Linked DNA regions of Callithrix jacchus. The protein of the gene in region 6 interacts with the protein of the main gene of each other region in a pairwise test. Links are inferred from orthologs where the notes say so. Each region holds a gene or a part of one and is shown on either strand. Other genes may lie near its edges. The genes, in order: HTT, BYSL, TXN2, LNX1, C15H3orf62, MRFAP1L1 and PSMA1.

Region 1 (3,500 bases), about 3.0 Mb from region 6:
TAAACGATTTTAGCAAACCAATTTTGGGCGAGTTCTCCTGTTTTCAGTATAGCTCTTCAATGCGTCAGAACACCCTGTTGTGCTGCGTTCCCTGAAAGGTCTTTTCATGAACACCTGCAGCCACCCCCAGCTCTACATGCCTTTGCCCTCCCAGGTGCCCACTTCCCTCCCATTTGCTGCTTATCGACGCAGGGCTAACACACCAGGAAGTTTCTCCCGTCCCAGCAGGTCCGAGAGGAAACCCTGCTCGGGCCACAGCTGCACCACACGCAAGAGGCAGGCCCCTGCTGCTCACAGGACCTGTCCATGGGCTTGGAGTACAGGGACACCAAGGCCTCCTGGGCTGGCTCTGCACAGGGTGCCCTCTGACATCTGGGATTGGGAGGTGAAGAACCTCACTACATCTAACAGAGGTATGGGTAGAGGAAATCTCACTGCATCCAAGAGTCTCCTTTAACTTCCAGAATAAACATGCTATTGAAGGCATGCATGATGTTGTGTCAAAGTCTATGGCAAATATGCAACCTTGACTTCCATTCTGTGTTGGCCAATGAGTGTAGGTGATAAAATCCCGTGTTTGTTCCTCTGGTGGAGGCCAAATAGTTCTCATCCTAAACCATACACCCAGCCTTGGGGCCAGCTGAATTTCAAAACAGTACCTCCTCTTGAGAGAGGGTTCCCATCAACTTGTTTCAAATTCCACAGTTGCCTGCTTCCAATTGCCATCCAGTTTCTACCCTGCTCCCCTGCCGCTCATATTCCCCACCACAGATGCCAATCGGAGTGCCCAGGGCCACACTTCATTCCCTCATATTCTCGACCTCAGACAACAATCCAAAACCCTTCCTCACTGCCATGAGAACAAAGAAGCAAACTGACTATAATACAAGATCACCTCCTTTTTTTTTTTTTCTGAGACGGAGTTTCGCTTTTGTTGCCCAGGCTGGAGTGCAGTGGCACAATCTCGGCTCACCGCAACCTCTGCCTCCTGGGTTCAAGCAATTCTCCTGCCTCAGCCTCCCGAGTAGCTGGGATTACAGGCATGCACCACCATGCCCAGCTAATTTTTGTATTTTTAGTAGAGATGGAGTTTCTCCATGTTGGTCAGGCTGGTTTCGAACTCCTGACCTCAGGTGATCCGCCCGCCTTGGACTCCCAAAGTGCTGAGATTACAGGCATAAGCCACCACACCTGGCCACCATCTACATTTTCTTTAAATGCATGAAAGGTTGAGTGAAATCAACTTGCCTTCTTGGATTCTAACATGGCTGAAATAATGTGCTTTCCTATCTGGATCAGCATATCCCCCACGTCCCAGCCCCATCTGAAATCGAGTCCTCCCCACTTCCCAGCCCCATTCAGACAGGAGTCTCCCCAGCCTCCTGTCCATAGCCAGAGTGGAGTCCCCAGCAGGTGTTGTCAACAAGTGGGTCATGATGATGAGACAAATCCCACTTGGAAGTCACAAGTAAAAGTTGAGGATTCCTTGCCTCCGCTGCTCCCCCCCGTACCGAGTTCATCATGAAGGCACTCATATCTTCAGCAGGAATCCGATTCACCAACTCTGCACCTTCCAGCAGTGCAGAGTCTGACCTGGTCCAACACTGGGATTTGACAAGATGGATGTACCAGTCCTGAGAAGAAAAAATGGATACAGGGAACATGATGGGCGGCATTCAAGGGGTCTTCACATTCCTGGAGCTACGGGCCTAGGCCAGTGCTTGGGAACACTGCACTGGGCTAACCAAGAGGGACAACAGCCAGCATGCTGTGGCCCTATGGGTCCCCACACCACAGGTGTGGGGAGCCATACCACCTTTGGACTTCCGTTACCTGCCTGAGCACCCTTGCAGTCTCCCTGTCACCTCGTGAACTTCCAACAGTCCTTCCAAATACAGCTTTATGTGGGGAGCCATACCACCTTTGGACTTCCGTTACCCACACCACCTTTGGACTTCCGTTACCTGCCTGAGCACCCTTGCAGTCTCCCTGTCACCTCGTGAACTTCCAACAGTCCTTCCAAATACAGCTAAAGCACTAAGGGTTAGCAGCCCCTTTACATCCTCCCTGGGCTTTGCTTTGCTCGTCTCTCCCCAGCAACCAGGGCAGGGCAGGTGCAACAAAGCCTAAGAAGGCAGGACTGAACATTCGCTTTCCTATACTTGGGCTGCGGGTTTTTGAAATCTAAATTCACATTCATAAGCTGAACTCTCTCCAGGAAAGTAGAGTACCAAGGCTCTACCAAGGCTCCAGGCAGTCCCTAAGTAACCCTGAGTGTGAGCAGTGGAGGTGCTGACAACATGCCAGAATGGCTGGCAGTGGTGGTGCAACTGACAGGAGGCCAGAAGGCGTAAGGAAATGGAGGCAGGCTAAACGCACTGACAGGTGCTTGAAGGCCTGTGCAGTCAGAATCCTGCAGGCCCTGGCCAACCTTCCCTTGATTCACCCACTAACTACTGGGCCCCATACTCCTAACATATGGGTCCCACATCCTAGGACCTTAGTGGTGCCCCACATCTCTAACCAAAGCTGGCTCGGGCCGAGCCCCAGACTCCTTGGGTTCACTGTACCTCCTCTGCACACTCTCTATCTGCTAGAGGTGACAGTGGCACTCAGCACCACCCTGCATGTGCCCTGTACCTCCCATGCAGACAGGCTGGACACTTACTTTGTCTGGACTCACTGTTTCCAGTGACACGTGCCCATCCCCGTCCAGCGGGTGGGAAGAGACTGGAGGAGAGGGACTGAGTGAGTCTTGCAGGGTGGAGAGACGAAACCTGTCCAGCAGGGAATAGAGCCTTTGGTGTCTAAAATACAAACAAAAATGAAGTTACAACACAATTTTTTTTTTTTTAGTCTTAGTCTAAACTCCGCAAACTAGGAGTCTAGAAATATACACTAAAAGGACTCACGCTTAGTGGCTTCTTAAAGGAAAACGCAACTTGTTTAAAACTTTTTCTTTACAGCTGTTTTCTCACCAACACTCAAACAGATCATGATACAAATGCAGGCCCTAGTTGACTTTCAAGTCACAGTTTGTATTCTATTATTATTTCCCAGAAATTTCACTTCTGGAATATACTCAAAACATTGCAACAGGCAATACGTGGTATAAAGGCATTCTTAATAAATGTAAAACAGATCATCTATCCTAAAACTCAAGTGTACAAACTCCACCACAAATATCCCGGTGAAACAACTGATACGAATTTATGGTCATTTCAAGATAAAATCACCTCATCTGGTGCAAGATATTTATAATCTTTTAATCTTCCTCATCTGGACCGAAGACTAAGTCTGAGGTTAAGAAGTAATAGTTTATCTCCCACCATCTGCTAGGAGAGTGACAACTTCAAAATGCAAATTGTAAAATAGCTTGGCCCTACAGACTGAAATATCATCCCAAACTGACTGTCCGCCAAACTGTGCCCAATCCCATTTACAAATACCATCAAGGTACTCTTAAGACTGAAATCAAAGCATAATTATCTGTGTGTGTG
Region 2 (3,999 bases), on a different chromosome or scaffold from region 6:
AAGAGAAACTAAAAAACTTTGTTCTTATACAGCTTACATTCTAACTGGAGGAGACAGTCTATGACCATACCACCCTGAACGCACTGATCTCATCTAATTGGAAGAGACAGACATAAATAAATGTATAAATATATTGGGTTAAAAGATAACTATTATGGGCAAGGCGCGATGGCTCATGCCTGTAATCCTAGCACTTTGGGAGGCCAAGGTGGCTGGATCACCTGAGGTCAGTAGTTTGAGACCAGGCTGGCCAACACGGCAAAACCCTATCTCTACTAAAAATACAAAAAAAGAAAAAAAATTTGCTGGGTGTGGTGTTGGGTGCCTGTAATCCCAGATACTTGGGAGGCAGAGGCAGGAGAATTGCTTGAACCTGGGAGGTGGAGGTTGCAGTGAGCCAAGATCTTGCCATTGAATTCCAGCCTGGGCAACTGAGTGAGACTCTGTCTCAAAACAAAACAAAACACAATGATGCCTATATAGATCGAGTGGAATGGGCAAAGGAGAAAGCAGTAGAAGAGGTCAGACTGGCAAGGAGGCAGATGGTATAGGGATTGTAGACCCCCGTACCCCAGCTGTTGAGTGTTCTGAAGAGTACGAGATACAGCAGGGCATGGTAGTTCACACCTGTAATCCCAGCGCTTTGGGAGGCCAAGGCAGGGAGGATCGCCTGAGTTTGAGACCAACCTGGGCAACACTATGGGACCTCATCTCTACAGATAATTAAAGCATTAGCGGCTAGGCGTGGTGGCTTATGCCTGTAATCCCAACACTTTGGGAGGCTGAAGTGGGCAGATCACCTGAGGTCAGGAGTTCAAGACCAGTCTGGCCAACATGGTAAAACCCCATCTCTACTAAAAATACAAAAATTAGCTGGACGGGGTGGCTCACACCTGTAACCTCAACTACTCAGGAGGCTGAGGCAGGAGAATTGCTTGAATCTGGGTGGCAGAGGTTGCAGGGAGCCGAGATCACACCACTCCAGCCTACGTGACAGAGTGACTGTCTAAAAAAAAAGAATTAGGTGGATACATGGTGGCATACACCTGTGGTCCCAGCTCTATGTGGGAGGCTCGGGTGGGAAGATAGCCGGAGCCCAGGAGATTGAGGCTGCGGTGAGCTAAGATTGTGCCACTGCACTCTACCCTGGGAGACAGAGCGAGAGACTCTGTCTAAAAATAAAATAAAAAGGAAAGGAAAGAAAAGAAAAAAAGGAGAATATGAGATACTATCTAGGAGGCTACTGTGATAATCCAGGTGAGTCTGTGATAATCTAATGTGAGAGACTGGTGGCTTGAACAGGATGGTGTTCCAAAGTGGTGAAAAGTGGTCTGATTTTGGATATAACTTGATGGCAGAGTTATCAGAATTTCCTTACAGATCAGATGTGGGGAGGGAGGGAGAGAGAGGAGTCATGTTTATCTTTAGCAAATGAAAGAATATCATGCTACTCACTGAGACAGTGGTGAGAGAAGCAGGTTTGGAGAGAAGGTCAGGATTGGTTTTGTACATGTTAAATTTGAGCTGTTTCAAATTGGAGGTGCCAAATAGGCAGTTGAATATAAGAATCTGGATTTCATGAAAGAGATCAGGGCTAAAATATAAAGTTAGGAGTAGTCACCCAAGAGATGGTATTGAAACCATGAAACCTGACAGCACTAGAGAATATCTGAAGAGAAGAGGTCAGAGGACTGAGGATAAGAGGTTGCAAGTAAGAGTCAGCCAACGATATTGAGAAGTGAGGTGGCAGTGAAACAGCAGTGTTGATGTCTTATAACCCAAGTAAGGATACTGTGGGCAGGAGGCCACTATTCAATTGTGTCAAATATTGCTTTAGATGAGATCTGAGAAGTGGATGAAGCACCTCAGAGGTAAGCACTCCCTCCCTAGTAAGAACCTATCAAACGTCAATTCATTTCTCTCCCTTTTTGTCTGCGAAACGTGTTTTCTGCTCATTACACTTCCCATTCGTTTTTCAGTTCTCAGCTTAAAGGTCCTACAATCGGAGAAGCTTCTCAAGACCAATGCTACTGTCACCAGGGAAACGATATTTTATCATGGAAATATATTATTCTAAGAGTCTACGTAATTGTCTCTCCGCTGGGCTTGACTGTAAGGTCCTTAAATCAGACGTGTCTGTATGTTGTTACTTCTGTACTCAAATATTCGATTGAACTTCGAGCATAGCGCAAAGCTCGTAGTAGGTTTTCCATAAATATTTACAAAACCAATGGATAAATGCTAAGAACACTTAGTGGCGCGAGCGATTACTTCCTATTGGCCTAACTTCGGGGGTGCCTAGAAGGGAGTGCCTAAAACTAGGAGTGGGCGCGGAGGTCTCTGGCCATTGCTTAGTCTCCCATTCCATTACTTTTGCAAGTCCCCTGCCGGACACTTTTTAGCTGTCCTCCCCCCCGCCCCCGGCCCCGCTGCTAGCCATTGTCTTGTTCGGACCTCATCCCAGACACTCACCCAGCCGCGTGGTGCGTTCCTGCGGCGCCGCGGGCTTGTCCCCAGTCCCATGCTCGGCCTCGAGCTCCTCCTGTTGCTGCCGTGCTTGCTGCAAAATCCGTCGGCTCAGCCGAGGCCCCACATACTCTTCCTCCTCTTCTCCGGTGCCACGACCCCGCCGCTTCTCCCGGACCCCTGCCCGCAACGCATTCCCAGCTAGGATCTGCTCAGCCAGGGGCGCATGTTTTTCCTGACCCCCGGCCCCACGGGTGGCCTTGAACTTGGGCATTTTTCTTGAAAATACTGCCGGGAAGGTTCGCACGTGGGGACGACGAAAAGGCCAGAATACACTTGGGTGAACTCCCACCTCCCAAGAGGCCACGCTGCGATCACAGCGCCCTCTAGCTATCGGAGGCCAGAAGCGCTATCAGCACCGCCCCTCCCACTAAAAGAGCTCCTGGGTTCCGGAGCTGGACTCCCAAATACATTTACTTCCTTTAACGTTGGCGTCTCTCAATAGTGCAGTCTAAGTCTCGTTCTTCTAGCTTCATGGATCTAAGCCTAGAGTGCTCAGCCAACCGGGAATTTCCGGAGCTAGAAACATGAGAGCGGGAATCCACTGATTATGTCACTGGAGGCGTCACCGACGGGTGCCAAGACACGCCCCATTCCTTGGGGAAGGCGTGGACCCGGCGCTCTGTTTTTACGTATTTCCGGAATCCCTTCTGCGACCGAAGCCTGTGTTGGGGAACTGAAGCAGTTCCTGTGGGCGGACTGGGAACGACGCATTTCTACTGTGTGATCCTGCCACCTTCCTGTCCCGACACCATGGGAGTGACTTGGTAGGACTGCAGGGGTTTTGTGGGGCGGGATTTGGAGTTGTGAAGGGCCGGGAAGAGGTCCTTGACCATGGCCCGCCGTCCTCTGGGAGCTGAGCGAAATGTCCTCGGGTTATCTGGATAAGAGGATACCGTGCGGGCCGCGGGTTCCCTGGGCCTTTTTCCTCGGAGATGCGCTCTTACCTCTTGGAAGGCGGCAGAGCAAAGGTTTTATACCAGGGACCTATCAATGGTTATGTACCTTCTTCCCTTATGGGTACATCTTCCTTCCCGTGAGGCCATAGTACTGTCTGCACTTGGACCTCAAGGTTGGAAATAGGGACTTTGGATTAGGACCTACCTGCAGACAGGGTTGGAGGGAGTAGGTTAAAAGCGATCAGGAGACAGTATTTTTTTTTTTTTTTTTTGAGATTTTCGCCTACCCTTGTCTCAGCCATCAAATGCAGTTAGACCAGCTGGTGTCTGTTTGTAATTTGCCCATTTTAAGATCTTGGGTCTAGAGGAAAAAAGAGGCTATTGATAAGAAGGAGATCGTGGTTCCAGGCACTCTTTAGGACCTGCTTCTCACTATGTTTAATTCCATGGTTGGTCTAGTTTCAATGGAGTTTTTATCTTTCATATGTTTTAAGTCTCAGTTGGAAGATGAGGTGGCAGGGAAAGGTACAACGCTCGCGGAGGCATTAGTTGTAAGGTACTAGGTCCCAGACAT
Region 3 (4,133 bases), on a different chromosome or scaffold from region 6:
AAAATTGGAGTTCACTATATCTAACATCCCAAAGTGCTGGGATTACAGGTGTGAGCCACTGCACCCAGCCTACTTCATCATTTTGCAAAGGCAGTTCCAATAATACAGAATATCGTCTGGTCAACGATGGATGCACAGAGAAGGCCAGGAAAGGGTCACCAGAGATGATATCTGTTTAAGTCTATCCTGGCCAGCATGGTGAAACCCCGTCTCTACTAAAATGCAAAAAATTAGCTGAGCGTATTGGTGCGTGCCTGTAGTCCCAGCTACTCAGGAGGCTGAAGCAGGGAAATCGCTTGAACTGGGAGGCAGAGGTTGCAGTGAGCCAAAATCAGGCCACTGCACTCCAGCCTGACGACAGAGCAAGAAGAATTTTTTTTTTCTTTCATATGCAAGGTTACCTGAATGAGAAAGAATTTATGTTAAGCTATTGATTGGTTGAAAATTGTTCTTTGTATTACAAATTCCAGGAACAGGTGAGGCTGCTAGTGAAAACTTAAAATAGGATGGGTGCAGTGTGGCTCAAGCCTGTAATCCCAGCACTTTGGGAGGCCAAAGGGGGCGGATCACTTGAGCTCAGGAGTTCGAGACCAGCCTGGCCGACATAGAGAAACTCCATCCTACCAAAAATACAAAATTAGCCGGTTGTGGTGGCACGTGCCTGTAATCCCAGCTACTTGGGAGGCTGAGGCAGGAGAATCGCCTGAACCCGGGAGTTGGAGGTTGCAGTGAGCCAACATCGCACCATTGCACTCCAGCTTGGGCGACTCAGCGAAACTCTGTCATTCATAAATAAATAAATAAAAATAAAATAAAGCAACAGGAATTGGCAAAATCCAAAACCAGGGGACCTCTCAACCGCCTTTCTCCCTTAAGTACCCTGCCTTGCTACCACCACTCCCAGCCTGGGCGACAGAGCGACACGCTGTCATTCATAAATAAATAAATAAAATAAAGCAAAATAAGTTGGCAAAATCCAAAACTACGGGGACCTCTCAACCGCCTTTTCTCCCTTAAGTATTTTCCCTTGCTACACACCCCGCCCCCGCTCCATCACCTCCTCTTCCGGTCCTTCCTCTAGGGCCCGCCCACCTTTTCCGGTTCCTCCCCCGCAACCCTCCATCTGCCCAGACCAGGGTCGGCCCGCTTCTTCCAATCCCTACCCCGACGGCCTCTTCATTGCTTCCGGTCCCTAACTGAGGCCCCGCCCCTTCGGCTGTGACTCCTCCCGCCATCCCTTTTGGCGGAAAATCGTAGACCCCCAAATTGGAGACCGATGCTTTTCCGCTTGTCTGCCCCCGGAAGTGACGCTAGGCCTGTCCTCTGAGGAAGTGACGACAGGAGTGCCCTTGACTGGGAGGGCTGGATTCTGCATCCCTCCGCTGGCGGTGCAGGGAGGTAGGAGTGCTGTGGGGGTGGCCCCAGGTGGTGTCGATGCTGTGGCACGCTGCTAGCGCGTTCCTGCGCAGGTTGACGGCTAAGCGGGCGGAGGCCCCGGGTGGGTGGAGGCCCCGGGCGGAGGGACCTGGCTCGCCGGAGAGCGGGGGTCCCTGGTAGGTCCGTTTTTACCCATTTCCCTCCACACGTGTCCCTTTTTGATTGTTCCTTCCAGTACATGTCTCTTCGTTTTTGGTTCCTCTCACACTCAGTTCCTCCTTGAATTGTTACGTGTCATCTTTCCCAATCATTTTATCCTCCTAATCTCCCATTAAAACACGTTTTCAAAGAGCAATAGTTGGAGTGAGGACTTGGCGGACGACCCTAGGTTCCAATGCTGGCTGTCACTTAATAGCGGGGGTACTTTGGGCTTGTCACTTAACTTGCTTAACCTCGAATTCCTTTCCTTATTTTTGATATGGGCAGTGCAATAGTAGGAAGATCAATAATGCATGTAAGGCACTTGGCCCTTAGCAGGTGCACCATAAATATTGGTTTATTCCTCTCATTCTTCTGTTATAATCTAAATCCTGATTTCTTCTTGGTTGTGAAGCCAGTTTTCCTGTCCTCCTGATTTGCCTGGCTATTCCTTCCCTTTGATTCTCATTGCTTCATCACTTCTACACTACAAATCTTACATATTATTTCCTTGCATTTTGCTTCCAACTCTGCCTCTTCTTGAACCCCAAGTACTCCCCAAATCCCTTTCTTTTTCTAGTGTGTTGCCTTCCTTTTTGTGTACCCCAGTTCTTCCGCCTCTTTCCCTCACAGATGGCTCAGCGACTTCTCCTGAGGAGGTTCCTGGCCTCGGTCGTCTCCAGGAAGTTCTCTCAGGGTTGGGGGCCACCCCTCACTTCCCAAGCTCTGCAGACCCCTCGTGGCCTGACTGTAACACCCAACCCAGCCCGGACAATATACACCACCAGGATCTCCTTGACGACCTTTAATATCCAGGATGGACCTGACTTTCAAGACCGAGTGGTCAACAGTGAAACGCCAGTGGTTGTGGATTTCCATGCACAGTGAGTACTGGGGGTCCATGGAAGACTAGGGTCCTACATGTTCAGCTGTTTATTGAACACCTGCTACATCCCAGGACCATATTTGATGCTGCTCATGTGTAGACTCATTACAAAGACTGGTCAGACCCAGTCCCTGCCCTCAAGGAGAGTGCAGTCTGGTAGAAGACAGATGAGTGAACAGTCTGCAAAGCTGACTGTGGTTAGTGCTGGGAAACACATATTGTGTTCTCATTGCCCAGAAAGCTCAGCATCATCTGCATGGACCAGAGTTGGAAAAATACAACTGTAGTGTCATCTTGCTTTTGGTGTATACCAGTTCCTGGCCCTGCAGATAAGTTGATTTTAACATCTTGCCATGAAATCTGTGGGAAGGGCTAGCAAAAAGTTATCAGTGTTGGCCTGGCATGTTGGCTCATGCCTGTGATCCCAGCACTTTGGTAGGCTGAGGTGGGTGGATCATTTGAGATCAGGTGTTTGAGACCAACCTGATAACCAAACCCTGTCTACTAAAAATAGAAAAGTAGCCAGGGGTGGTGGCGTGCACCTGTAATCCCAGCTACCTGGGAGGCTGAGACAGGAGAATCACTTGAACCCAGGAGGTGGAAGTTGCAGTGAGCCGAGATCATGCCATTGCACTCTAGCCTGGACAAAAAGAGCAAAACTCTGTCTCAAAAAAAAAAAAAAAAAAATCAATATCACTGCTGTGGTGCCCAAGCATGCAGGGCATAGGAAGGCGTTTTCTTTCAGTGCTGAGTTTGTTTTAGAGAGAAATATTAAGTCCCTCTGCCCTTCTGATTTTTAGCCTGGCTTTTTTCATTTCTAGACCTTTGGGGCCTGGCTAGACACCTAACTACACAAAAGCTGGACAAAGCTCTCTGAATGAGGCATCCTGGGAGAGGAACCAGTGAAGCATAAGTTACAAAATCAGGGGCCTTCAGGTCGGTCGCAGTGGCTCACACCTGTAATCCCAGCACTTTGGGAGGCCAAGGCAGGCGGATCACCTGCGGTCAGGAGTTCGAGACCTGCTTAGCCGACATAATGAAACTCTGTCTCTACTAAAAATGCAAAAATTAGCCAGGTATGGTGGCAGGCATCTGTAATCCCAGATACCTGGAGGCTGAGGCAGGAGAATTGCTTGAACCCAGGAAGTGGAGGTTGCAGTGAGCCGAGATCGTGCCGTTGCACTCTAGCCTGTCAAAAAAGCGGAACTCGATCTCAGGGAAAAAAAAAAGATATGAAAGGGCCTTCTGGGCAGGTATCTGACAGATTCTTTTGCCATCTTTCCAGTTCTTTCTCTGACTCACCCTGTGGCCTTGGGCAGGCCACTTGATATTCTTGTCTACCCTTTCTTCACTTATAATAGGAGTTAAGTTCTTGCACAAAGGGTTTTTAGGTGTTACGAGTTGTTTTTATTTTATTTTATTTTTTGAGACAAGGTCTCACTTTGTCACCCTGGCTAGAGTGTAGAGTGCAATGGTACAATCAAGGCTTACTGCAGTCCCTACCTCTTGATCTCAAGCAGTCCTCCCATCTTGGCCTCCCAGAGTGCTGGGATTATAGGCATGAACCACTGCACCAGGCCTGAGGGGTATTTTTCTTTTTTCTTTTGAGACAGATTCTTACTCTGTTGCCCAGGCTGGAATTCAGTTGCACGATCAGCTCACCACAACCTCC
Region 4 (4,077 bases), about 44 Mb from region 6:
TAGGATTCCCTTTTGGCATCTCTTCTGTGCCCACCCAGTCTGGGCTAGGTGCCCTCCCCTGGCAGGTTGTGTAGGCTCTCATTGCACTTGTCCACATGGAATTGAAATTTATTGCTTATTTGCTTCCCACAGTGGACTGGGAGTTCCTTGAGGGTAGCAATCAAGATTTAAATCTCTATGTCCCACCCTAGCCAAGCACCTCATACCTCGTAAGCGCTTTGTATCTGTTGTTGAGTAAAATGAATAATGGAGAACCTTGACAAGGACTTGGCAGAGAAGAAAAAGGAGAATTAACTGCCCCAGTAGTGGTTTTTACCCTGGAAATGTTGTTACTACCCTGAGCAGATAGTGAGCAGCTCACATCCATATAGATGAGCAGACCAAGTGGAATAGAATGAATGGCATAAGCCTGACTTCTTTAGGCCTGATGCTGAGGACATGTGCCCTGCCTATACGAAGGAGAAAGCTCTGTTCCCCATCAAAGACAGTGACAACACAGGTACATACACACATGCACAGCGCAGGTCACAGTCTTTAAAAATATTACACGTGGCTGAGCAAAGTAGGCACCTGTGCGGGGTGTGGAGGACATATCGTAGCTCCAGAATTCCAGGAGCCAGCTCAGGGAGGCCCAGAACAAAGCATCAGGGCCTAAGCAGGGTGCGGAGGGCATCTGAATGGGGCAGGGGACACTGGTCATGATGGCAGTTGGTGATATTTGGGGGACCGAACAAATAAACAAATAATATATTAAGGATAATGGGAGCCAGCCTCTGATCAATGTTAATGACGGCAGTTACAAATTCAGAAAGGGAGAAAACTCTGTGGTGTTGGAAGTGTGAATTTATGGTTTTCAATACATATGGATTAATATAGAAATAAATAGATACATAAATAGAGGAGGAAGCTGGGAATCAGAATTAGACCTGTCTAGCTCTTTTCACCATTCTTTACTAAGGCCCTACACATAGGCCCTCTGCTGTGAAACCTCTGCCCCCTTCGCTGTCCCCTAGAACCCCAACTGGAACTCACATAGACTTAGAAGATTCCACCCCCATAGTCTCAGAGCATGCATCACACCACATGGCACTAGTTGCACACAACTAACTCATGAGGTTTTGGTTACATGGAGGGTAGGCCTCCTCTTATCTGTATTCCCTGCATCTCCCTTGGAACCAGGCACATGGCCATCACGATAGTTAGTATTAATATTTACTGTGCACTTATTATGCATCAGCAAAGACTTCACATGCATAATCTCATTTACAGCTGAAGACAACCCTATGAGGGACATATTACCATCATTCCCATTTCACATATTGGCAAGGTGAGGTTAGAGGGGTTAACCGAGGTACGCCAAGATGTAGAGCTAGTGAGAGGTAGAACCAAGAGTCAAGGCCAGACGGTCTAATTCCTCAGACTGTGCTCCTCACCCCTCAGCTCTGCCACCATGGACTAGGTGTAAGTAAATGGTCACTCAACAGATTCCTCCCAGGGACTTGTGTTTCTAAACACTCTCCCTCAATCCAAGTCCACACTTTATGCTGAGCTCGTTTGAAGCTCACCTCTTTAGGGGAGCTCCCCATCCTGGTCTGAACTGCTGCCTCAGTTCTCCTTGGGCACAGGGCTTGCATCGCACCCTGACATATGACCCAGTCAGTGTTGGAGCAGGGAACATAGTTTGTCGACATTTGTTGAACTGAATTCAATGCCCAGGAATGGAAGTAAACAGGGATACATGACAAAGTGGTATATTGTACAGGATACTGTGGTTATCTATTTCTGGATTTTCCAGAAGAGTTCAATTTCTAAAATTCCATCCTCTCATCAGACCATTTGTCAGAATACATGGCCAAGAATGTAGTCTGGAATTTTGTTTAAAGAGTAAGGTCGCCATTCTATAGAAGAGAGGCGGGAGTGGGCACAGGGTGTGCTGCCGGGCACCCCAGCCCGACACACCCGTGGGCAGGTCACAGCTCTCTGAACCTCTTTATCTGTAGGTAAAACTGCAGTGCAATACCTACTCCTACTGCGGAGTGAAATGAAGTCTGTGTGTGATGTGTTTTAAATACTGATGAAGAATAATGTCATGTAAATCCAGTTACTGCTAGTGGGATTCCTCACGGTTTCACTGACCTGTCTGGCAAGTCATTTTCATCTGTGAAAGTAAAGAAGCTTTTAATGAAGACCACTGCAGGAAAATAGGTATAAAGAGAGCAAATGTCCTGAGGTCTTTCTAGTGTTTTGAAAAAGACACCCCTGGATATTTTCCATCTTTTAGACTCTCTTCAATTTGATGCGTGTGTGTGTGTGTGTGTGTGTGTGTGTGTGTGAGAGAGAGAGAGAGAGAGAGAGAGAGAGAGAGAGAGAGAGAGAGAGAGAAAGAGAGAGAGAGAGACAGAGAGAGGGGAGAGTTGGAGGCCGAGTGGGCAGAGGTGGAGTTGTTTTAAAAAACTGCATGAGATTCTAGCTGGTGGAGGGACAAGGCTATCTTACCTTTGCTGTATGAGGTCTCCCAGCTGTGTGAGGTCTCAGGAGATAGTTCTTTTGAGAGCTGAGCTTTTCTGGCTTAGCAGTAGCTCAGAAAACTTTTCTTTCTCTTTCCAGTGTTCTGTGCCCCAGCTGTGTATAAAAACTGCTCCGCCTTTTTCCATGCAGGGGTTAACCAGGGCATCTCCTGCCCCTTCTGCAAGGCTTTGGGTAGAAGAGATCCATAAATCTGACAGCAGCTATGGGGAGATTCAAGGAAGAGCAGTCTCCCGCAGAGCAGCATGCATTACCATCAGTGACAAATCTGTCTGGTTTGGATGGGGCTGAGACACCCCTGAACTTCCTTCTGCTCTTGCCAAAAGTCAAGATCCTTTTGTTCACCTTTAGGGTTGCCAAGTCAGGCCTACCTCTCCCCTAGATGTTGTTTCCTGCGGGCAATGGGAAAATGATCTTGGAGCCAGAGAAGGGAAATCAACAAGGAAATAAACACAGGGTCACCACACCTTCAGGCCATCAGTAGGTCTGGAACATTATCATGCTGGGACCAACTCCTTAATAGGCAGGGGCTGCTGACTGGACAGGCCCTAGAATCCTGGGCATCTTTTATTTTTCAATAAGTAAAGGGGCATGCACCAAAATCAGTATCAGGCAAATAAGTAGTTCTGACTTGTTCTAATACCTTGCCAAAACTTTCAAAGATTTTCCATAGGCAGTATTGCTCATAACTGAACATTGCCTAATGTTTGTAGACAAAAAAAAAGGAATGGGCATGTTTGTGGCTGATACTATTTAAGACTTTTAACTCCAAAGATATAGAATTATTGTTTAAATAAGTATTTCTTCTGCTCATTCTTCAGCATCATCACCATCATCACCATCGTCAGCGGCTGCAACATCTTTGCTAACATTTATTAAGTGCTTACTGTCTACCAGATTCTATAGTAATCACCCGACCTGCATTATTTCATTTAATTCTCAACAGAATCCTATCATTATCACTCCCATTATACAGATAAAGAAACTGAGGATTAGAGAGACTAAGTCATTCCTGCAGAGTGACCCAGCTAATTAAAAATGTAAACATTGTGATTCCAGAAGTGGGCTTTTCTGAGCTTTGCTTTTCCCACCAGTTGACCTAAGCACTAATGTGGGCTGACAGCTCCAGTAAGGACCAAAGATTTTGCTTAAATAAGTGATTAGCTCTGGGTATCAGATTCTAAATAGAAACATAAATAATTAGTGAGTTAAGTAGTCTCCTTCCAGAGATGTGAGTCGAGTCCTTGGTGTTACCTTATGTATATGCATCATGCAAGAAGGACACAGAGAGTTCAGGTACTTGTGGCCCCGTAATCACAGGTGGTGCTACTGGCTGCAGTGCCTTCAGCTCTCCACTGTGACTCTGATTTACAAACAAGGAAGTGCTCTGCAAGTCCCTTGGCCTCTGTGTGCATTTCGGTCATGGCCTGATTGCTACTTTGTCCTTTTGACTTTCAGAGTCAAACTGCTGCAAGTTTCTTTTAATCAATAATCCAGGGAATGAAGGAGGCAAAATGACCAGCCTGGAAACTTCTGCCTGGTGAGATGAAG
Region 5 (2,282 bases), on a different chromosome or scaffold from region 6:
GCCTCAAGTGATCCCCCCAGCCTCAGCCCTCTAAGTAGCTGGGACTACAGGCATGAACCACCATGCCCAGTTAAATTATTATTATTTTTTAGATGGAGTCTTGCCTCTGTCACCCAGGCTGGAGTGTGGTGGCGCAATCTTGGCTCACTGCAACCTCTGCCTCCTGGGTTCAAGCAATTCTCCTGCCTCAGCCTCCTGAGTAGCTGGGACCTATAAGGTGCATGCCACCACTCCTGGCTAATTTTTGTATTTTTAGTGGAGATGGGATTTCGCCATGTTGGCCAGGCCCTAGGTCTGGAACTCCTGACCTCAAGTGATCCATCTGCCTTGGCCTCCCAAAGTGCTGGGATTATAGGCGTGAGCCACTGTACCTGGCCACTCCTGTATTTTTTAGGGGCCCATGGAAAAGAACACCAAGAGACACAGCAGAGGCCCACGACCCATACCTACCTTGGATACTGGGTATACTGAACATGAATCAAAAAAACACATTCAAGATGTCAAGTAAAAAAATAATAATAATAGGAAACACTTCAAAGCAATAGAATTCAAAAAACTAGTCTCACAGCTTAAAAAGGGACACAACTGGGAGTTAAACATGGTCTGGTAATTCAGGTTCTGCCAACTTTTTTAGAAATGTGGCCCCTGATGGCCACTGTGGCTGCTTCTGCTCAGGCTCAAGGGCTACCTCCTGCTGTAAGGCTTAGATCAACTGTCCTTACTCAATTTGATATTTAAAAGAGGTCATCACATTGTAGTCCTCTTCCAAGTCCAGAACAGTCTCAATGATATTATGATCATCAAAAGCCTGTTTGAGGCTGCCAGGGTCAGTATCTGAGGCCTTCTGAGGACTCTTGTTCAGGAGCAGGGCCCAGGCTTCCTTCCTGAAGGGTGAATCTTGACAATGACCACACACGTGGTTTAATTCATTTTCAAATTCTATTTTTCCAGCCAATTCTTCAATAGTTCGGATGCTTGTATGGTCTTAAAAATAAGAACATTTAGCTTTACAATTCCAGTGGAAGGTTTCTGAAGACATTTCAGGTACAAGTTAAAAACCATTAATGGGTTGTCATTCTTCAGGGATTGTGGAAAAGCAGACATTTCTGCCCCAGGGCAGGTAAGCTGCTGGACTGCCAAATTAAGGTAGGTTTGGTATCCTCCTTTCAGGCCCAAGCATTTATTGAGTTCCAACTATATGCCACTCCCCAAGAAAGGTATAAATGGGAGGATACCGAAATGTACCTGGTTGGCCAGGTGCGGTGACTCACACCTGTAATCCTAGCACTTTGGGAGGCTGAGGAAGGCGGATCATGAGGTCAGGAGATCGAGACCATCCTGGCGAACATGGTGAAACCTGTCTCTACTAATGCAAAAAACTAGCCGGGCATGGTGAGTAGTCCCAGCTACTCAGGAGGCTGAGGCAGGGTAATCACTTGAAACTTGGAGGCTGAGGTTGCAGTGAGCTGAGATCGCACCACTGTACTCCAGCCTGGAGACAGAGCGAGAATCCAAACCAAAAAAAAGAAAAAGAAATGTACATTGTTGTCCTGGTTCTCAGGGATGACAAAACACAATGTGAAAAAAAAAACAAGGTCTTTAGGGTAACAAAAATGTTCCTAGCCAGGAGTGGTGGTGTGTACATGCAGTCCCAGCAACTTGGGAGGCTGAGGTAGAATAATCACTTGCAGCCAGGAGTTTTGAGACCAGACTAGGCAACAGAGTGAGACCCTGTCTCAAAAAAAAAAAAAAAGAAAAGAAAAGAAAAGAAAATGCTCCCTGATGTTGGTGAAGGCCAAGGAAGATGGTGGGTAGAGGCAGTAATGATTTCAGTTCACCTCCTCGGGCTATTGGAGCAGGCCACTGAAGTCACAGGCTGGCAGGGGTTTTACTTTGTGGCCCAGGATGAGTACCTATCCTCTCCAGGCCTTCTTTTTCTCCCTCATAACCTGGAGACCTTTCAGAAACAACAGCTTCAGGCAGCACCCAAGGCTATTCAGCCCTTTACTAGGAGCTGTTTGTCTACTATGTAGTATGAGTTGTTTAAAAACAGGGCACACTGGCATGGTAAGCCTGTAAAAACAGGGCACATTGGTTGGTATGCCCCAGCACTTTGAGAGGCTGAGGCAGGAGGATCACTTGAGACCAGGAGTTCAAGACCAGCCTGGGTAACAAAGCAAGACCTTGTCTCTATTTATAAAAAATACTACTACTAATAATAAAAAGACAAAATAAATAAAAAATAGAGCACATGTAGTTCACATATAGAACATACAGATTTC
Region 6 (4,149 bases):
CCAGAACTGTGAGAAGATAAATGTCTGTGTTTAAGCCACGCAGCCTCTGGTGCTTAGTTGTGGTGCCCAGAGTGGAGTAAGACATCCATCAAGAATGCATGAGAGTTCCGTTTGTTCAGCATCTTCCCCAATGCTTGGTATTGTCAGCATTTTAAATTTGAGTCATTCTAGTGGATGGACAGTGCTTCCTCATTGCGGTTTTAATTTTCATTTCTCTGCTGAATCGTGACGTTGAGCACGTTTTCACATACATATTGGCCATTTGGATATTCTCTTTTGCTAAGTGCCAGCTTTTGTCTTTTGTCCATTAAAAAAAATTTTTTTTCTTGTTGATCTCTAGGAGTTCTCGATATATTCTGCATGAGTCCTTTGCCAGATAGAGCTATTGAAAATATCCTTTTTTTCAGTGTCCTGCTCTTTTTCTCTTAATGTTCTTTTGATGAACATCTGCTAGAACATTGGTGGTTGCAAAACTGTTTCACACACATCATCTTACAAATGCCTCTTCCCACTGACAGATATTCAGGCTGGGGCCATTGGTCTTTATGAGACTGGAAAACTGAAGCTCTCATCTATGGCACTTGTGCAAGAAGGATTCCCCCCTCTACACACACTCGTATCACTACTAGTGTGGCACTGGGTGACTAAGCCTCGCAATAGACTCCTCTATTCCACAAAGGCATCAGGTTGGTGATCAAAGCCACATTTACTAGGCCCCTGCTGACTTTCAGGTCCTGTGTGTGGTAGGTACATAAGGGTGAGCAAGACCAGAACCCATCCCCAAACAGCCTCCAGTCTGGCAGAGGCACTGAGGTACTAGAGAAGAATTCCTGTCTCTAAAGCATCCCCTAAGGCCCTGCTTGACGCCAGGCTGATAGGAAGGGCGGAGGACAGAACTGAAACAGAAGTGGCCCTTTACCTTGAAAACCTTACAGACTGCTGAAGAGCGACTAAAAACCACAGGCCAGAACCACCCAAGGCAGAGAGAGAAATCCACTCCCTACCCCCCGAGAAAAAAAGCATGAGCCAGGGGTGGGGAGAACAAGGGACCTGCTCCGTTCTGGAACAGTGAGCACACTGTGGACACACATTGCTTTGGGCTCAAATCATGACTCTGGCCTGGTTTTTACCTCTCTTATAGGTTCGTTGTGAGCGCTAAGTGAATTTCATATAAATTATTCCAAGCTTGTGCATGTTTAGAGAGTAAGCGCTGTGAACGCCAGCCCGTCTTATTCAAATATAGGGATGGGGAGGGTCGCTTTTACTTAAAAAAAATAATAAAAGTAAAAGCCCTCTAAAGAGAGCTTTCCGAGGAAGACGCGAACAAACCTGCCGCCACCGACCTAATTTTTAGAGAAGAGAGCCGAGCGGAGCGCCGGGAAACAGGTGGCGAATGGGCCGCGCGCGCCCGCTACCTGGTCTTGCCACAGGCGTGACCGTAAAGGGGCCCGGCCCTGTCGTGAAAGGGCCGCAAACAGGCGGAGGGCGAGTTGACGGCTGCGTCTCCATTTTGTTGGTCGCTGCGCTGTGTCCGTCCACGGTGATTCTTCCGATAGAGTTCCGAAGCGAAAGGCTTACAATTAAAAGGAAGAAAAAATTTAAAGATAATTCGGGAGTACTATGGACAAAGCGTGTGGATCGCCTAGACTCCAGCAGTAACTCCTGATCTGCAGTCCCCAGGGGGGTCCAGTAAGGATAACGTCACTACTGCGGTCTTAAAGAAGCGGCAGGAGGAGATGCGGCCTCTGGACATCGACGAGGTGGAAGCGCCAGAGGAGGTGGAGGTGCTGGAGCCCGAGGAGGATTTCGAGCAGTTCCTGCTCCCGGTCATCAACGAGATGCGCGAGGACATCGCGTCTCTTATACGCGAGCACGGGCGGGCGTACCTGCGGACCAGGAGCAAGCTGTGGGAGATGGACAATATGCTCATCCAGATCAAGACGCAGGTGGAGGCCTCGGAGGAGAGCGCCCTCAACCAGGCGCAGCACCCGAGTGGCGAAGCCGACGAGAGAGTGTCGGAGTTGTGCGAGAAGGCCGAGGAGAAGGCCAAGGAGATCGCGAAGATGGCAGAGATGCTGGTCGAGCTCGTCTGGCGAATAGAGAGAAGTGAGTCTTCTTGAAGGAGGACATCGGTGGTAAGGTCTGAACCTGGCGGGAGCTCGGATGGAACTCAGTAGTCGCCCTAAGCATGGTGTGAAACCGCGCCCTGTCAAAAGTTATATCCTAGGCCTGCACTCCCCGCCCCCCCCCATTTTTATTGCATCAAAAATTGAGCATTGGGAACGAAGTTGGGGTCAAGAGGAAAGAATGCGTGCTGGTTTTGTTAGGTGTTAGTGTACCGTTTTTGTATGGCCTCTCCCTCCCACACTGATAGAGGAAAATAAAAGTAACTTGGGGTTTGTGAAACATGAAAGTCAATTCTAATAGGGCGGTCCCCAGAAGTAGACCTGACTAGGCACCAAGGGAGTTTGGGGAAAGCCAAAGAAAACCTAGGCCGTAGAGCAAAATGGAACGCAGGGCGAGAACGCAGGCAAAGAGAAAGAGTAAAGCCAGAGGACATTACCTGAAATTTCCAGATTGTTCTATGAGGCAGGTATGTCAGAAGACCCTGTCTCAAAGCAGTGGCATTCTTCTGGTTGGTTAACATTTATTTTTAACATCAGGATATGGAACTTTTCATGGTCAATTTCTCCCAATTGTGCTTTAGGTTCACAGCTGAGGACTATAGTCAGCTGGTAAGGATGAACTGACACATTGAGGAAACCGAAACCGCTTGTCATCTCTGTTTTGTTTTTGTATGTTTTTTACCCCCATGTAACAGTCTCCCTTATGGTCAGTGATTGATAAGCTCGGTATGGGTTTACATCTTCAAATGTATTTGGTTCTGGAAGGATAACTTTTGTGGGAGAAATACTGTTGTAAGAGAAACGGGGCTTCATCAAAAGTTGTTTTCGCCGTTACTTTTATTCTTGTTACTTGCTTTTGAAATGTTGGGCATGACCTTGTATTTTGCTGTTACCTTTGTGACCTGATTGTTTTTTGGAACACATCAAGACCTGGGATCAGAATCTTCCGACTTTAGAGGGGCCTGCCTTGCACTACTTGGTTGAGCCTCGTGAAGAATGTATTAATGAGGCAGCTTTGCATAAAGCTGGGAAGACCGAGAAGACAGCTGGAGATGGAAGTGGTTTTGTATATATTTTGGAACTTTCGTTCCTCTGTGAGATGAAAGAGGAGAGCTATGTTTTGTGGCACATTGTCTGATGTATCTTGTGTAATCTGTCAGGTGAGTTGATTTAGACAGCATAGCTGACCTTATGTGACAAGGCAGTGAGTATGGACTGTTGTAATACCCTCACACATCACAGGGGCTTCAGAGAATGGCACTGAAGAGACAGTCTACAAAGAGCCTTGAGAGACTGGAGAAAGGAAAAGACATTATCAGGGCCTGGAAAGTCTCTTCCAGTTCATCAGGGTAGTAGACCTGTCAGATTGGAGGTCAAAGTCAAACATATAAAAAGTGTTAATTTGCCTTGAAAAACAAAGACCTCAAAAGCCTTTTTTAAGAAATAAATTTTTCGTTCACATGACCAAAACCCCTCCTGTGTGTGTTAACAAAAGAATCATAAATAAATTTTTTTGAAATGGATGTTCTTCATTGTCATCAAATGGGGTTGAACTGCTTCTAGTTAAAGGCTCTTGGTAAGCCTTTAACTGAGGGAGAATTATTTCTGGAACATGCTATGGAGATGAGCTGACAGAAACCCAGTTCTGGAGAGAAAAACTTTCGGCCATCCTCTGGGTCCAGCCCCTACCTTTCAGCAGCAGACATGTGTTTAGTCACCCAGTGGGAATGTGACGTGCTTCATATCCTGCACGTAAAGGTAAGAGATGAATGGGGCGAAGGTGTGGGACAGAAACGGAATATAAGGAACTGCAGACAGAGTGCGTGGGTGTCTTGTGGGAGCCCTGAGGAGGGAGTCACCTCTGCATAGGGGAGTGTGCAAACTCAGAGCAGGTGACTTACCTGGGCCTGAAAAGTAGAAATGAGTGAAGGCATATGAGGCACAGGGATCAAAGTGAGCAGAAGCCTTTCAAGTTATAGCACTGGGGAGATGGCCGGTGAGCTGGAAGTTAAGGAGTGTGGAT
Region 7 (3,347 bases), on a different chromosome or scaffold from region 6:
CCTTTAATTTCATTTTGCATGGTTCAAGATAAAAATTGTTCTGCAACACCTGAGTATACCACTCATGGGAATAAAAGAAGGCAGCTTAAAATCATGCTGGAGTGGGACTGGAGCGGATAAAAGGTTTGGGATTCAAATTTCCCAAGTGTTATTTTTGCAGAAGTTCCCTACAAAGACCAGAGCTACAACTACTGCCATCTGCTGGTTGGAAAGAAAACCATTCATATGATAACTGATGTTTATGTCAGGAAGTGGTGGTTTCTTAGGTTTTAATTAGAATCACCACGGTTGAACCCTGAAACTTATATTCTAAACCAAATCTCCACAGATTCTTAGGAAGCCAATCCATACACTGGAGAATTGTTATAAGGCTATGATAGATAAGAGGTATTATTTTTCTCCATCACTAAAAATAAGGCAATTTAATTTGGCAAATGATCAGTTGTAATCCCATACCACTATATATAGTTGAAGGTACTTGAAAAAACAAAAACCCAATATACCAGGGCGGTGAAACAATTTTATTTCAAAGTTGTGTTTAAAACCACAAAGACACCTATTTTCTTCATATAAAAACATTAGTACAGATACCCATACTTTCTAGAAAATGATTATACAGACCCTTTCAAAGACAAATGTATTCCACTGTATGGTTTCAGTGAGGTTGCTAGGAAAAACTCACATCTGGACTGATACCTAAAACATAGCATTCCACTAGTCTGCAACTTTTGGTTCAAAGTATAATTACTGTCATCAGTATGTGGTGCCTGTATTCTTACATATTTGATAATATATATATAGACTGGCTTATCACTTAATGTTCCATTGGTTCATCAGCCTTTTCTGCAGGTTCATCAGCAGGTTGAGCAGGCTTAACAGGGAAAGAAAAAAGAATACATGTAAAATGAACACCTGATCAATATATACATCTAATCACAAATATTACATTATAAAAAATGGAGAAAAAGAGGTAAAGAGATATTCTGAATACTCAGTTTTAGTTCACTGTCCCATTAACATTTCTGAGCAGTTTTTTTTTTCTCCTTGAGTACTCATGATTTGAGGTGAATATTTTTTTATTAAAAAAAAATACAGTTAGCCCTTGAACAACACAGGTTTAAACAGTGAGGGTCCACTGGCATGTAGATTTTTTTTCTTTTTTGTTTGCTTTTATTCTAACATTGTTTAGGGTGAAGTTTTTTTTTTCCCCCAATAAATATAAACTAGCAGACCAACTGTGTAGCCTAGAAATAAAAAATAAATAAGAAAAAGGTATGCCATGAATGCATAAAATATATGTAGAAACTAGTCTATTTGGTCGGATGCAGCGGTTCACATCTGCAATCCCAACACTCTGGGATGCCGAGGCAGGAGGATTACTTGAGCCCAGGAATTTGAAAACAGCCTGGGCAACACAGTGAGATCCCATCTCTACTAAATACAAAAAAAAAATTAGCTGGGCATGGTGGCACGCACCTGTAGTCTCAGTTACTTGGTGGCGAGGGGGGTGGAGGGAGGTGAGATGGGAGAATCACTTGAGCCCAGGAATTCGACCTTGCAGTGAGCTATGATGGCACCACTGCACCCCAGCATGGACAAGAGGGCAAGACCTTGTCTTAAAAAAGAACAAAAAAGAAACTAATCTATATGTGTTAACTGCCTGTTTATGTTATTGGTAAGCCTTCCAGTCGACAGCAGGCTATCAGAAGATTTTGGGAGTCAAAAGTTATATGTGGATTTTCTACTGTGATGGGGTTTGCTACTACTATTCCTCACACTGTTCAAAGGTAACTGTATATATCATTTCGCAGTTCTGAAAACCTAAACAGCATTGAACAATTCTACCATTTTATTGTACTTTGTATTGCTCAGGAGTAAAAACTTTCCTTATATTATCACTACTATGCTTAAAATACAATCAGCACTTTTTAGACATTCTTTACCCCTTTACTAAACTCTGTGTTATTTCACAGCATGCTTCCCAACAGTGCTACTTTTTTACCAAAAACAGTTTAAATACTACAAATCTTGCTCCCCCAAACAGTACCAACAATATCCTTTTCAAGTTGGAAAAAACACATGCTATAGAAATTTCCATACTAGATTCTTTTTTACTTTCAATTACACAGGTATCAAATAAGCATCTATAAATAGCAAATATGTATTCTAAACATCCAGCAAAAAGACCCATATTTAACCTGAGATTCATTTCTTGATGCTTTTCTCTTTATGAAGAGCCATCTTAGTGTCCAAAGCTGGCCCCCAGTGAATATTTCTCCCAGTCTCCGCTCAGACAGAATCTGGGTCCGGCCAGTGACACAGTTTAACAAACAGAATGTGTACAGGTGATGATGTGCCAGTCCTGTGTCTCAGCCTTAAGAATGTCTGGCAACTTTCACTTCTGACTTTTGCAAGCCCTGAGTTGCCAACATACTAGAGAGACCCTGCTGAAGAAGCGGCCCTGAGACTACATGGACAGAGGCTCAGTCATCCTAGAAGAGGTCCCTGCCTTCTAGATGCTCCTCTAAGACACCTAGAAGGTGTGAGTAAAGAAGACATGGGACTAAAGTTATCTTGGGTCTTCCAGTTGCACCCTACAAATGACTGCAATTGAGAGATCCCAGGTTAAACCAGCAAAGAACCCTGCAGCTAAGTCCTAGTCAGCCGCAAAATTATGAGAAGTAGTGTTTGTTGTTCTAAGCCCCTAAGTTTTGGGGTAGCTTATTAACTAGCAATAGATAACCAAATAATCAATGCTTCTCCCTTTCTGTGTTTATGGATATCATTGTCCCCTCAATATTTAACTTTACTCAGTTCTTAATTTCCCAATTGCTATTTGAATTATGGGCCCATTTCAATATTTATGACAAAATGGAAAATTTACAAACACAGTTGTGGTAATAACGGAATCTTACAATAGAACTAAAGCCTCTTGTGTTATGATTATATACCTGTGCCTTTCTCTGTGGCCTTTCTTCAAGACCTTCCAGGAATGGAGATACATCATCATCATCATAGATTGTAAACTCCAAGTCTTTACCAACAATTCCAATGGAAACATTCTGAGGGATAAAAAATCATAAAAATAAAATAATTAAGAGAAAAAATATATATGATAAAATATTGAGTGAACAAAGCAGAATAAGAATTTATTATAGCACTTGAATAAAACTTTAAAAACTACTTATGTGTAGGGGAAAAAAGAAACTAGCAGACCCTTGTCATTAGCAGATTTAATATTAATACTCACTTTTGATTATCATGAGTAACTCCAAAGATCTATGTTATCAAGAAACATTTTTTTAAAAAGATTATGCAGGCGGCCGGGCGTGGTGGCTCACACCTGT

Evidence for each region.
Region 1: the proteins of MRFAP1L1 (region 6) and HTT interact in binary tests that used the Homo sapiens proteins (3 or more experiments, as listed by UniProt). The link is inferred for Callithrix jacchus from reciprocal best matches to the Homo sapiens genes MRFAP1L1 and HTT.
Region 2: the proteins of MRFAP1L1 (region 6) and BYSL interact in binary tests that used the Homo sapiens proteins (3 or more experiments, as listed by UniProt). The two-hybrid records come from large-scale screens. The link is inferred for Callithrix jacchus from reciprocal best matches to the Homo sapiens genes MRFAP1L1 and BYSL.
Region 3: the proteins of MRFAP1L1 (region 6) and TXN2 interact in binary tests that used the Homo sapiens proteins (3 or more experiments, as listed by UniProt). The two-hybrid records come from large-scale screens. The link is inferred for Callithrix jacchus from reciprocal best matches to the Homo sapiens genes MRFAP1L1 and TXN2.
Region 4: the proteins of MRFAP1L1 (region 6) and LNX1 interact in binary tests that used the Homo sapiens proteins (3 or more experiments, as listed by UniProt). The link is inferred for Callithrix jacchus from reciprocal best matches to the Homo sapiens genes MRFAP1L1 and LNX1.
Region 5: the proteins of MRFAP1L1 (region 6) and C15H3orf62 interact in binary tests that used the Homo sapiens proteins (3 or more experiments, as listed by UniProt). The two-hybrid records come from large-scale screens. The link is inferred for Callithrix jacchus from reciprocal best matches to the Homo sapiens genes MRFAP1L1 and C3orf62.
Region 7: the proteins of MRFAP1L1 (region 6) and PSMA1 interact in binary tests that used the Homo sapiens proteins (3 or more experiments, as listed by UniProt). The two-hybrid records come from large-scale screens. The link is inferred for Callithrix jacchus from reciprocal best matches to the Homo sapiens genes MRFAP1L1 and PSMA1.

What each region holds. Positions count from the first base shown.
Region 1 is NC_133504.1:189,945,536-189,949,035, forward strand, and holds part of HTT (huntingtin), read right to left. Parts: intron 2,808-3,500; coding exon 2,669-2,807; intron 1,635-2,668; coding exon 1,512-1,634; intron 1-1,511.
Region 2 is NC_133505.1:50,424,051-50,428,049, reverse strand, and holds the start of BYSL (bystin), read right to left. Parts: upstream 2,801-3,999; 5' UTR 2,741-2,800; coding exon 2,473-2,740; intron 1-2,472. UniProt on the Homo sapiens protein: Required for processing of 20S pre-rRNA precursor and biogenesis of 40S ribosomal subunits. May be required for trophinin-dependent regulation of cell adhesion during implantation of human embryos.
Region 3 is NC_133502.1:207,432,896-207,437,028, reverse strand, and holds the start of TXN2 (thioredoxin, mitochondrial), read left to right. Parts: upstream 1-1,333; 5' UTR 1,334-1,553; exon of another isoform or gene 1,554-1,557; intron 1,558-1,647; exon of another isoform or gene 1,648-1,797; intron 1,798-2,208; coding exon 2,209-2,459; intron 2,460-4,133.
Region 4 is NC_133504.1:143,048,487-143,052,563, reverse strand, and holds the start of LNX1 (E3 ubiquitin-protein ligase LNX), read right to left. Parts: upstream 2,801-4,077; 5' UTR 2,497-2,800; intron 1-2,496.
Region 5 is NC_133516.1:31,876,830-31,879,111, forward strand, and holds the end of C15H3orf62 (uncharacterized protein C3orf62 homolog), read right to left. Parts: intron 985-2,282; coding exon 719-984; 3' UTR 501-718; downstream 1-500. UniProt on the Homo sapiens protein: Essential for normal spermatogenesis and male fertility.
Region 6 is NC_133504.1:186,946,485-186,950,633, reverse strand, and holds MRFAP1L1 (MORF4 family-associated protein 1-like 1), read left to right. Parts: upstream 1-1,487; 5' UTR 1,488-1,736; coding exon 1,737-2,120; 3' UTR 2,121-3,649; downstream 3,650-4,149.
Region 7 is NC_133511.1:80,374,564-80,377,910, forward strand, and holds the end of PSMA1 (proteasome subunit alpha type-1), read right to left. Parts: intron 3,063-3,347; coding exon 2,952-3,062; intron 872-2,951; coding exon 815-871; 3' UTR 501-814; downstream 1-500. UniProt on the Homo sapiens protein: Component of the 20S core proteasome complex involved in the proteolytic degradation of most intracellular proteins. This complex plays numerous essential roles within the cell by associating with different regulatory particles.